Saccharomyces cerevisiae S288C: one gene and its partners. The protein of the gene in region 4 interacts with the protein of the main gene of each other region in a biochemical or structural test. Each region holds a gene or a part of one and is shown on either strand. Other genes may lie near its edges.

What was found.
Region 1: the proteins of IKS1 (region 4) and CUP1-2 form a complex in vitro, tested with the Saccharomyces cerevisiae proteins (one large-scale study listed by BioGRID).
Region 2: the proteins of IKS1 (region 4) and SRB7 form a complex in vitro, tested with the Saccharomyces cerevisiae proteins (one large-scale study listed by BioGRID).
Region 3: of the proteins of IKS1 (region 4) and CWP2, one has a biochemical effect on the other in vitro, tested with the Saccharomyces cerevisiae proteins (one large-scale study listed by BioGRID).

The regions. Positions count from the first base shown.
Region 1 is NC_001140.6:213,991-216,640, reverse strand, and holds CUP1-2 (metallothionein CUP1-2), read left to right. Parts: upstream 1-1,922; coding exon 1,923-2,108; downstream 2,109-2,650. Other genes in the region: RSC30 (Rsc30p), read left to right, coding at 1-1,458; YHR054C-B (uncharacterized protein), read left to right, coding at 1,951-2,124; YHR054C (uncharacterized protein), read left to right, coding at 2,392-2,650. UniProt on the Saccharomyces cerevisiae protein: Protects the cell against copper toxicity by tightly chelating copper ions. May also act as a depository for copper designated for the effective transfer into the apo forms of copper proteins.
Region 2 is NC_001136.10:1,077,504-1,080,263, forward strand, and holds SRB7 (Srb7p), read right to left. Parts: upstream 947-2,760; coding exon 524-946; downstream 1-523. Other genes in the region: PMT7 (putative dolichyl-phosphate-mannose--protein mannosyltransferase), read left to right, coding at 1-350; GIC2 (Gic2p), read right to left, coding at 1,545-2,696.
Region 3 is NC_001143.9:257,350-260,053, forward strand, and holds CWP2 (Cwp2p), read left to right. Parts: upstream 1-1,903; coding exon 1,904-2,182; downstream 2,183-2,704. Other genes in the region: MTC2 (Mtc2p), read left to right, coding at 1-494; YKL097C (uncharacterized protein), read right to left, coding at 1,154-1,564; YKL096C-B (uncharacterized protein), read right to left, coding at 1,724-1,873. UniProt on the Saccharomyces cerevisiae protein: Component of the cell wall.
Region 4 is NC_001142.9:327,617-332,002, reverse strand, and holds IKS1 (protein kinase IKS1), read left to right. Parts: upstream 1-1,881; coding exon 1,882-3,885; downstream 3,886-4,386. Other genes in the region: ZAP1 (Zap1p), read left to right, coding at 1-1,572; BIT61 (Bit61p), read left to right, coding at 4,130-4,386.

The DNA of each region.
Region 1 (2,650 bases), on a different chromosome or scaffold from region 4:
GATACCTGTCCTTCATTCTCAACGGTCGATCTTCCTTTATCTCAACTGACCAAACTAGGCGAATTAACTGTGCTTCTACTGTTGTTAAACGATTCAATGACCCTATTCAATAAGCAGGCTATTAATAACCATGTTTCGGCATTAATGAATAATTTGAGGTTGATTCGAAGCCAAATCACATTGATAAACCTGGAATATTATGACCAAGAGACAATCAAATTTATTGCCATCACAAAATTTTATGAATCTCTGTACATGCATGATGATCATAAATCAAGTTTAGACGAAGATTTGAGCTGTCTGTTAAGCTTCCAGATAAAAGATTTCAAGTTATTCCATTTTTTGAAAAAAATGTATTACTCAAGACATTCGCTTCTAGGTCAGTCTTCATTCATGGTACCCGCTGCTGAAAACCTATCTCCGATACCTGCCTCTATTGATACGAACGACATTCCTTTAATTGCTAACGATTTAAAATTACTGGAAACGCAAGCAAAATTGATAAATATTCTGCAAGGTGTTCCTTTCTACTTGCCAGTAAATTTAACCAAAATTGAAAGTCTGTTAGAAACCTTGACTATGGGCGTGAGTAATACAGTAGACTTATATTTTCATGACAACGAAGTCAGAAAAGAATGGAAAGACACTTTAAATTTTATCAATACCATTGTTTATACAAATTTTTTCCTTTTTGTTCAAAACGAATCCTCTTTGTCCATGGCAGTTCAACATTCTTCTAACAACAATAAGACCTCGAACTCTGAAAGATGTGCAAAGGATCTGATGAAAATTATTTCTAATATGCACATTTTTTACTCAATAACATTTAATTTTATCTTCCCCATAAAGTCGATAAAGTCATTTTCAAGCGGCAATAATCGCTTTCATTCTAATGGTAAAGAATTTTTATTCGCAAATCATTTTATTGAAATCTTACAGAATTTTATAGCAATCACATTTGCTATTTTCCAACGTTGTGAAGTAATATTATATGACGAATTTTACAAAAATCTTTCAAATGAGGAGATTAATGTTCAATTGCTATTGATTCATGACAAGATTTTGGAAATTTTAAAAAAAATAGAAATTATCGTATCCTTTTTACGAGATGAAATGAATAGCAACGGAAGTTTCAAATCTATTAAAGGTTTCAACAAGGTTTTGAATCTGATTAAATATATGCTGAGATTTAGCAAGAAAAAACAAAATTTTGCGAGAAACTCTGATAACAATAATGTTACAGATTATAGTCAGTCGGCGAAGAACAAAAATGTTCTCTTGAAATTCCCCGTTAGTGAACTGAACAGAATCTATTTAAAATTTAAGGAGATTTCAGATTTTTTAATGGAAAGAGAAGTTGTCCAAAGGAGTATAATTATTGACAAGGATTTGGAATCTGATAATCTGGGTATTACTACGGCAAACTTCAACGATTTCTATGATGCATTTTATAATTAGTAAGCCGATCCCATTACCGACATTTGGGCGCTATACGTGCATATGTTCATGTATGTATCTGTATTTAAAACACTTTTGTATTATTTTTCCTCATATATGTGTATAGGTTTATACGGATGATTTAATTATTACTTCACCACCCTTTATTTCAGGCTGATATCTTAGCCTTGTTACTAGTTAGAAAAAGACATTTTTGCTGTCAGTCACTGTCAAGAGATTCTTTTGCTGGCATTTCTTCTAGAAGCAAAAAGAGCGATGCGTCTTTTCCGCTGAACCGTTCCAGCAAAAAAGACTACCAACGCAATATGGATTGTCAGAATCATATAAAAGAGAAGCAAATAACTCCTTGTCTTGTATCAATTGCATTATAATATCTTCTTGTTAGTGCAATATCATATAGAAGTCATCGAAATAGATATTAAGAAAAACAAACTGTACAATCAATCAATCAATCATCACATAAAATGTTCAGCGAATTAATTAACTTCCAAAATGAAGGTCATGAGTGCCAATGCCAATGTGGTAGCTGCAAAAATAATGAACAATGCCAAAAATCATGTAGCTGCCCAACGGGGTGTAACAGCGACGACAAATGCCCCTGCGGTAACAAGTCTGAAGAAACCAAGAAGTCATGCTGCTCTGGGAAATGAAACGAATAGTCTTTAATATATTCATCTAACTATTTGCTGTTTTTAATTTTTAAAAGGAGAAGGAAGTTTAATCGACGATTCTACTCAGTTTGAGTACACTTATGTATTTTGTTTAGATACTTTGTTAATTTATAGGTATACGTTAATAATTAAGAAAAGGAAATAAAGTATCTCCATATGTCGCCCCAAGAATAAAATATTATTACCAAATTCTAGTTTGCCTAACTTACAACTCTGTATAGAATCCCCAGATTTCGAATAAAAAAAAAAAAAAAAGCTATTCATGGTACCCGCTGCTGAAAACCTATCTCCGATACCTGCCTCTATTGATACGAACGACATTCCTTTAATTGCTAACGATTTAAAATTACTGGAAACGCAAGCAAAATTGATAAATATTCTGCAAGGTGTTCCTTTCTACTTGCCAGTAAATTTAACCAAAATTGAAAGTCTGTTAGAAACCTTGACTATGGGCGTGAGTAATACAGTAGACTTATATTTTCATGACAACGAAGTCAGAAAAGAATGGAAAGACACTTTAA
Region 2 (2,760 bases), on a different chromosome or scaffold from region 4:
CTTTTGAAGATGCGTTCGCCGTGGAAAAATGGCCAATTACGTTAGACACAGACTCTCCAGTTTGGTTTAATTTTGCATGGTATGGATCCTTACTCTCGATGATCATTTTCATGTGCGTGCAATGTAAGAGAATGATATCTTGGAATCCGTGGACAACTGCTGAACCTTCCTTTTCTATCAAATGGGAGGTCTACAATGAATTTGGCTGGGAGTGCATTGTCGGTTGGTTTTTACATTTTTACATCTTCACAATGAGTCCACACTTCAACTTGGGGAAAAAACTGTACTTCCAAAGTTTTTTCTTTAGTGTATTGTGTCTTTTAGAATCGTTAGATTGCCTTGCAAAGTAACTCGTAGAAAGATTTTCTCCATTATGATTTTTCTCCCATTGCTTCAATAATTCTCCGGTACAAATAGAGTAGCACAATTATTTATAAGAATAACATACATACGCTTAACTCTGCCATATAACTATAGTACATTTTCTGTCCTCTGTTCGCAAATTTCTTTGTAAAACTTAAGTTTATGTGCTCTTTTTTGAGTTTGCAATGCCATCTACAAAATCTTCAATTAAAGAATCAACGTGCCTTAAAAGTTTCTCCTTCTTTTTGATGGCCTCAATTTTTTCGTCTTCCACTTCAACTAGCTTTTTCTGCAACATATCAATCTTCCTTAATTGCTCTTCAGCTGAAACGTCAACACCAGGTAACGAGTCAATAAGCTTGTTTATCTGTCTTGTTTTAAGTATAATGTCCGTGGATAGCTCATCTATCGTGTTAGAAAATTCCTCAGGAGGTACTACTGTGGCATGCTTATCGGACATCTGAGGTTCATTTACGGTCAATCGTTCAAAACCATGGTTCTTATCTATGTAGTTTAAAGTAGCACAGAATTGCTCCGTCATTTGGTCTAAACATATCTGCAATTGTGTTAATCTATCTGTCATTGTTAAAGAGCATATAATGTATTGAACTAGTGAAATGTTATGTCCCTCTTTTAACCAATGGTTTACCGTTTGAATTATAATTATCTTTCAGAATTGATTTTTTTTCTAACTTTCTTGCAATGCGAACAAAGCTTGTAATTAAGCACGTACGGTTGGCCTTTAAAGGATTACAGAGAAAGACAAGGCTTCTACAGAAACAGCCACATGTTCTACAAAAGCGCACTTCACGCATATAAGCATATAAATGTTAGTTATATGAACAATCTTAAGTAATATATAATAAATCAGAAAAGTTTAACTGTAAAAGAAATTGTGTTTTAAAAGAAGATATAATAAACGAATGTATGGGATAACGCCAAGTTAAATGAATGTCCTTGTTTTGTAACTAAAGCAGAAGAAATAATATTGTTAGCTCTAGTTATTTTAATAGTGAAAAAATAGCCGAAATAAAGAACAAAGAAAAAAGAATGAGGAAACGAATGAATGAGATTAACGAGTAAAAAACGAATGAATGATACTTCAGATGGTCCTTGAATATGTTTTATAAGCTGATTCTTTGAATTTTTTTTTTTTTTTTTTTTCATTTTCTGTCCTTAGCTTAAGTTTGCAGGGGCTCGAGCTGGTTGAAAGAATAAAGAACATCATCGAAAGATTTTCTATGGTTTACAGGGGAGTCAGAGTAGGAAAATTTAGATTGTGGAGAAGGCGTAGCTATAGAGTTTCTTCTCTTGGGAAGAGGGCTTTGGCGTGAAGGAAAGAAGGCTTTTGCTGAGTCCTTATTTGAGTTTGGGGTCTCTAAAAGGCTACGATAAGCGCTTGACCTCTGAGAACGAGGCAAGAAGTCTAAAATAGGCTTATCTTCAAGTAGTGTGGGGAAGTTGTAGTTCTTCAAAAAATCCAGCGAAGACTCACTAGAATCCGTGGAATTAGTGTATCTATGACCCAGAGCGTGTGACTTATTTTTAAATTGTTTTGGAGATGCGTTTGGGGAATACTCAAAAATAGATGTAGCCATAGTTGACGTAGATACGACTCTCCCATTAATGGAATGATTGTTTCCTTGTGTGTTTTTAGAGTAATTGGAGGACGTTACTGAGATCGAACGCGCGACTGATAGTCTTGATGTCTTATTTTCGTGCGATCTTGAAATGAGTTTGCTTTCACGATTAGCAGGGATCCTTTCAGTGACAAAAGCTTTATTTAGTGATTTCGAATCCCGCTTGCTTGAGGAGGAGGTATAGTCGTCCTTAATCTCTGTGGACAGCGATGAAGGTTCCTGCAATTGCTCATCTTGGAATCCATTTCTAGTGTCAGCATGTGAAATATGTTGAAAATCAAATGGTGTGGAGATACCTTTACCTCTTATGTCCGGTTGGGCACCAAGCAACTTTTTCTTCAACAAATTAAGCTTAAGGAAAACCTTTTTGTGATTTGTCTTGTTGGCGCTGGACGATGATGACGATGATTCTTTAGACTTTGCAGAGTTAGAATTACTTCTCCTGTGGTGGCAAGACGGATGTGAATTTGGTGAAAGTGGAGGCAACTCAATGTTTTTCTTGTTACTCAGCACAGGTTTATCGCTGTTGATGAAAGTAATGCCTAGGTTTTCTTCATCATCAGATCCCATGAATTGCTGGGCCTGCAGACCGTAGAGTTTTTCAGCTTCTTCATCTTCATCCAGCCAAATCGACCGCATCTGTGGAAGGTTCATGGTTTCGTTTCCAGTATTGGTAATACTTGCACTAGTCATATTCGTTCTTTTGATAGCGTATTCTGTCAGGTATTCCTTTTGTTAGTGTTAGGTGTTTCGGAGC
Region 3 (2,704 bases), on a different chromosome or scaffold from region 4:
ATAATAGCATTGGTATGGCTGAGGAAGAGAAGCAGGAGCCAGAGAGCAAGAGGTCGATCATATTAAATGAAGAGGCAAATCTGAACGATGTATTTGTGGGGTCCACTGTAAGACGGTATATTCTCGATATCATGGTCCATTTGCGAACGCATAGATTGACGTATAACGCCAAAGCCGGCGGGGTATATACAAATTCATTGGACGACGTGGTGTTATTGTCTAGATTAATTGGTCTACATAGCGGCAAGATGTTTGTGTCACCTTCACATGTCAAAGAGGCGTCCAGGTGGTACTTCCCCATGCACTTGGAATTGGTTCAGCGTTCCTCCATGGATAGTTCCTTATTGTACGGTAGCGACCCCAACTTGGTGGACGAAATGCTAGAGAAACTTGCGAAGATTAAGTGTGAGGAGGTTAATGAGTTTGAGAATCCCCTTTTCCTGGAATCTCTCGTAGTGAAAAACGTACTAAGTAAAGTCGTGCCGCCCGTGTAAGTTTATTATGTATTTCGAGCATGCATCTGGAACCTATGTTTACATACGTACAAACGGTATTTAAAAGTTTCTATTCTTAGCGTCAATTGCCCTTTATCGTTTTGTTAACCAATTGTTGTTTTTATTCATTATGCCATGACCCGAAAAATGAGCAAAATCGGTCAAAGTAAATAGCTAAATATTTGGTCTAAAAAGTAAGAGAGAAATGAAAATGGCAAGGCTTAACTACTTTGCAATAGTGTATATAGACATTACCAATTGAGTCCAGCAACGAAAGATTCCGCTTGCACTTGGTCAATCATTTACTGACCATAATACGAAGTAATAGAGATGCTACTAAAAGATGACCATGCGATTACAATTTACAATAGACAATTAAGCGCAAGGACAATCAGTATGCATTCCATTTCTAATAGACAAGGTGCTATGAGTGAATTGCTAGCCTCCCCTTTTTATTTTGTGCGGTCACCGCAAGGGACAAAGCTTTTCTTAGAAAACCGTCTGAGAAGCATAACGTACGCCATCCCCTAGACATATTAATAATGCTACAGATACTATGCTGCTCGTCTTTTTTTGACGACCCTTTTATTGCAATGTGCAACTAATGGCAAACAACCACATAGTATCACAGTATTACATTGCCTCCACCGATGCGGATGTTAGGGCGCCAAGTCTGTCATGAAGCATGTTCCTGTCATAATCTTGTATGCAAAATACCGCGTTCTGCGCCACTGATATGCTAGGCAGCAGCAACCTATGCAGAAGATTGCTTTTCCCACGCCTGTTTTACGTCTCCAGGGCACTTGAAACAATGCAGCGATCGCCGCCACAACACGCCAAAGAGAAGCGAAAGTGGGCCTGGGCGGCCTCAGTTTCGGCAGAGGTAAACAACACGAACTGAACTGCCTTAGCTCCGAAGGGCAATTCCACAGGCACTCCGCGGGGCCCGGCCAAGGCCCAAAAGGCGTGGAATATGCGCGTTTTGGGGCCATAACACCCAGTACCACGGCCGGAACGGGCCATATAATAAGTTTTTCACTCTCAAGAATGGTAAACGTAAATAGGAACATCCCACTACCCTAGAAATTGCGGAAATTTCGCGCTTATCATTAGAAAATCTGGAACCGTCCTTTTTCCTCTTTCTTGCATTTCCCTTTCCGTATTATTGCCATTCTTTAACTGCATTTGGGGAACCGTAGACCAAAAGCCAAACAGAGAAATGTAACGTTCTAAAAAAAAAACAACGAAAAAATTGAAAAATAAGATACAATAATCGTATATAAATCAGGCTTCTTGTTCATCATTTTCAATTCTCTTCTTGCCATCCCTTTTCCTATCTTTGTTCTTTTCTTCTCATAATCAAGAATAAATAACTTCATCACATTCGCTACACACTAACAAGAAAAAAAATGCAATTCTCTACTGTCGCTTCCGTTGCTTTCGTCGCTTTGGCTAACTTTGTTGCCGCTGAATCCGCTGCCGCCATTTCTCAAATCACTGACGGTCAAATCCAAGCTACTACCACTGCTACCACCGAAGCTACCACCACTGCTGCCCCATCTTCCACCGTTGAAACTGTTTCTCCATCCAGCACCGAAACTATCTCTCAACAAACTGAAAATGGTGCTGCTAAGGCCGCTGTCGGTATGGGTGCCGGTGCTCTAGCTGCTGCTGCTATGTTGTTATAAGAAATCTCTGATTTTTTATAATATCTATATGGCTTTTTTCAAAATTTTCGGTTTTACTAGGTAAGTGTTTGATTCTTTTCTTTTCGTTAATATATTTTTACACATAATTTTAAATAATTTTTGTTATTTTGAATAGGTAGATACCATAAAAATAAAACACTTTTTACTTTAACGATGTTCCTGTGATTTCTCTTCGAATGAGTCAAAAATTTGAACTCGAAATGAATGTATTAGAGACTGGGTTTCTTCGAGTTTGCTGAGATCTTGGCTATGCACAATGTTTCCTGCGCCCCTAAGGTGAAAAAAACATGCATGCTTGTTTCAACAGACCAGTGTGCATAAAGAATTTCGCCCTTAGCTGCGATTAAAGAGTCAAGGCGTGAAAAACATAGGCGAAAGTGCTGACCGTTCTTCCCTTTATCTTTTTACCATCTTCGTTATCTGTTACCTGTTCAAAAGAAAGTGGGAAAGATATTGGTGTGCTACGGTGGGATCTTTTTTTTCTGCCATTTTCTATACTTT
Region 4 (4,386 bases):
CCTACAAACACTTTGCAAGGTACAAATCATGCTTATCACGAACATATCTTAAATACTGATATGGATTTGAAGATTTTGGAAGATTTATGCAATATTTCTTCTTTGTATGAAGTACCGTTTGGAAAACACATTAACCACCACGACCACAATAATGCCGGTAACGGCTGCGATGGTTCGAGCACAGGAAATAATGAAAACGGTAACCAAACAATGAATCTTCTATTATCAAGCATTAATAGATGCAACCCTAAAAATAATCTTAATGGAAGCAATAACAATACGGCTGGAGCAACTTCAACTGATCATCAACACCATCACCATAGAATACAGTTTCATTCTCACAAACCAAATAGAAACAATATTGTGAACAATTCAGGGATTAGCGCGGCGAACACAACAGCCGATCTAACTAACAACGATTTAAATGACTTAATTTCAAGAGAGTATAGTTATGAAAGATTTAGAAATCAAAGTGAGCCCCCTTCGCTACCCAAAGTCACTCATCAGAATCAGAAAAATCGTAGATCTTGGCCTACAAAAGATCTAGAATCTACTGATTTCAGCTCTTTGGAAGACTCATTACCTTCTAGCATCTCTCCTCCTATACAGACAACAAGCACTATAAATTTCAACTGGTGTTTTAAAGAAGAGAAAAACAATGACTTAAAATGCAAATGGAAAGAATGTCCTGAGTCTTGTAGCTCACTATTTGACCTACAAAGACATCTTTTGAAGGATCATGTCTCTCAAGATTTCAAACACCCTATGGAACCATTAGCTTGTAATTGGGAGGACTGTGATTTCCTTGGAGATGATACATGTTCCATAGTGAACCATATTAATTGTCAACATGGTATCAATTTTGATATTCAATTTGCCAACCCAGACTCATTTTTGCCTGGTAGTATATCAAAGGAAAAACATCACTTACTACATTGCCCCAACCCACAAACACACGAAGTTTCTAAAGCAGATGGAGCACCTGATATGACGTCTGCAAATGATGTTTCCAATATACCGCCAATCAAGCAGCCGGAACAGGTGATTTGCCAATGGGATGGTTGCAATAAGTCATTTTCCAGTGCTCAGGAATTAAACGACCATTTAGAAGCAGTACATTTAACCCGGGGTAAGTCTGAATACCAATGCTTGTGGCATGACTGCCATCGTACGTTCCCCCAAAGACAAAAATTAATCCGTCATTTAAAAGTGCATTCGAAATACAAACCTTATAAGTGCAAGACATGTAAAAGGTGTTTTTCAAGCGAAGAAACTTTAGTTCAGCATACCAGGACACACTCTGGCGAAAAACCTTACAAATGTCACATTTGTAATAAAAAATTCGCGATTTCAAGTTCTTTGAAGATTCATATAAGAACCCATACTGGTGAAAAACCTTTACAATGCAAGATTTGTGGTAAGAGATTCAACGAATCGTCAAATTTGAGCAAACATATTAAGACCCATCAGAAAAAATACAAGTGCTCTGACTGTTCCAAAAGCTTTGACGATTTGGGAAAATTGAACTCACAGAAAGTGAAATGCGCATTGGAAAGAAAACCATATTTATAAATGTGATCATCATGGTCCAACGTAAGAAGGGCGGTTTTCAGGATCACATAAATGCATAATTAGAAACATTTCATATTTTACCTAGACTACTTTTTATTTATAATTTTTCGCAAACTCTTTTTTGTAAGCTTTTACAGTACACTTTTTTTACGTAATAACGTATTTCAAGCTTTATTTTTTGTATACGTTTCAGAAAAGGGGGTGGGGGGGAAGGACATTGTATATATAGATCCTATGAGTGACAACTAGGTAACCGAAGAAACACTATTAGATATATAGTTTGAGGGATAGCATAAGTAGAACTTAGAAATGAGTTTAGTACCATATGAAGAAGGTTCGCTGATTTTAGATGATCCTAATTCTAAATCAGTGGTGGTTGTTAATCCAACCTCAGGAACTTTATCATTTTTCCAACAGGACAACAGTAATAATGACTCTGAACTAAATGAAGACCAGACTGCATCTTTATCAGCACTGGACTTTCCTTCAGGGATTCATCAATACAAAAGCCCTATTGCTTCCTATGTGTGCCCGCAATGTGGTACGGAAATTAACCCTGATATTATAAACAGAAGACAACTTCATCGTCGAGCCTCTGCTGGAGTAGAATCAGAAAGCAGTAGGCTCAGTATTCCAGAGAACACTGTGCCACTTGGATTTGAATTTGCCAATTCAAGCTTTTCAAGAAGATATTTTCAGTCATTGGAAAGAAATCATCGGCACTACGCCCTACAAAACGATAGTAACAATAAGCAGGGACAGTTCAGCAAAAACAAATACTTTATTCCAGATGATTTGTTTATCCCCGGATACTTTCGTAAATTTTTCAAAATATTGTCTTTGCTGGGAAATGGTGCAAGAGGTTCTGTTTACAAAGTTGTACACACAATTGGTAATACTGAATTAGGTGTTTTTGCACTAAAAAAAATACCTATTGGAAATGATATGGAATGGTTTAATAAGTGCATACGGGAAGTGAAAGCGTTGAGTTCGCTAACTCACAAAAGTGCCAATTTGATTACGTATAATCATGTGTGGCTCGAAATGGATTCTTCGGTTGGATTTGTCAGATCCATTGATGGGAGCCAATCGGATTCACAAGAAGAAGTTCCTTGTATTTTCATTTTACAACAGTATTGCAGTGGCGGCAATTTAGAAGACTGTATTCTAAGAAAAGTGTTCAATAGGTTCTCAGATACCGAATCACCTGAAGAGAGGAAAAAAAAATTTAGAACTCGCAAGAAAAATCACGGTAAATCAGGAGAAGTTGGCCTATCTACGGAACAGCTCGTATCCATTATAAGGGATATTGCAAGAGGTTTACACGAACTGCACAGTATTGGCCTAATACATAGGGACTTGAAACCATCCAACTGTTTATTATTGACTCCATTTAAAAGTGACAATGAGAATGACAACGTATACGACAGGGAACACAATTCAGATGAGTTTTTCCCATCAATTGTTATTGGCGATTTGGGGGAAAGTCAGTTGGAAGGAGAGTCCAGATTGGGTACTGGTTGCACAGGAACATTAGAGTTTACAGCACCAGACCTTATTATCCAGGGGAGACCAGTTTCTTCTTCTACGTTGCCTTCAAGATCGAGTCACACATACAATGAATACACCTTTGCTTCCGATATGTATTCTCTAGGAATGATTTGCTATTTTATTGTCTTCGGTGAATTGCCCTTTGAACCACAGTTGGATATAGTTGATTTGAAGGTACGCATCAAAAATTTTAGGTTCGACACTGAAGGTATGATTGAAAAGCATCAAGCGATGAAATTGAAACCAATAGACCGTAGAATATTTCACCTAATGGACGCTCTTTTACAACCAAATAATGATGCTAGACCCACAGCGAAGACAGTGGAGGAGACGTTAGATGAAATGCTAATAAATTCCAAACCCGGCAAAAAATTCTGGAAAGAAAATGTGGATAGCACTTTGAACTTCAGTACAATCTCGGAAGTGAATGAGAATACCAACAGTTTTACTGATGATTATATTGACGGAGACAACGTTACTTTATCATTACCAGCACCAGAGGAAAATTTGAGCACCGTATCAACCCAAAACCTCCAAAAGTATTCTGCTTTAAATAGAACAATCCAGGTTTGTTACAAACTAGTTTCTATGATATTAACGATAATCATATTTAAGTGTACCAAAACGGGGTCGTGGCTCTCTTATATGTCACTGATATTGTTGGGAATGGTTTTTAAATCACCAGCTGATGAAAGAGGTAAGCATGCAAGAGCGTTGGTTTTACTGGCCTTCATCGCCGCATGCAAAAAATACATATACTAACAATAAGTACACATTGCAAACTAAATAGCACGTAATTTATTTTTACTTTACAAATTTATAGAAAATATTCTCGCTTATCACCAATGTTCACGAATCATCTTCACCTCTTCTAAGGGCCGGTGACAAAGGTGCATAATGTTAGAAAAATTGACCGATGAGTAAATTTATAGAGGGAATAACCAAATGAAAAGATCTAGGTGACAGAAACGCCAATTGACCTCTGTAGAAATAAAGTTCTTTCATTATGACAGCAGAAGATATACTCCTTCGAGAAAGAACATCTACTACGACACAACGCCCTGTCAATAGCGAACAATACCTTAATGTGCAATTAGCCACAGCCCCAGTAAAAAATTTTCAGACTACAAGCGAGATTAGCCGGCAAACTCTTGTAGACACATCAAATGATGACGTTTATTCCATCAAGAATTTGAAGGGCTCGAGGAACCCCATTAGCCCTAGTGTTTCTAACGTTGGCTTCCAATCCATATTCCATACAGT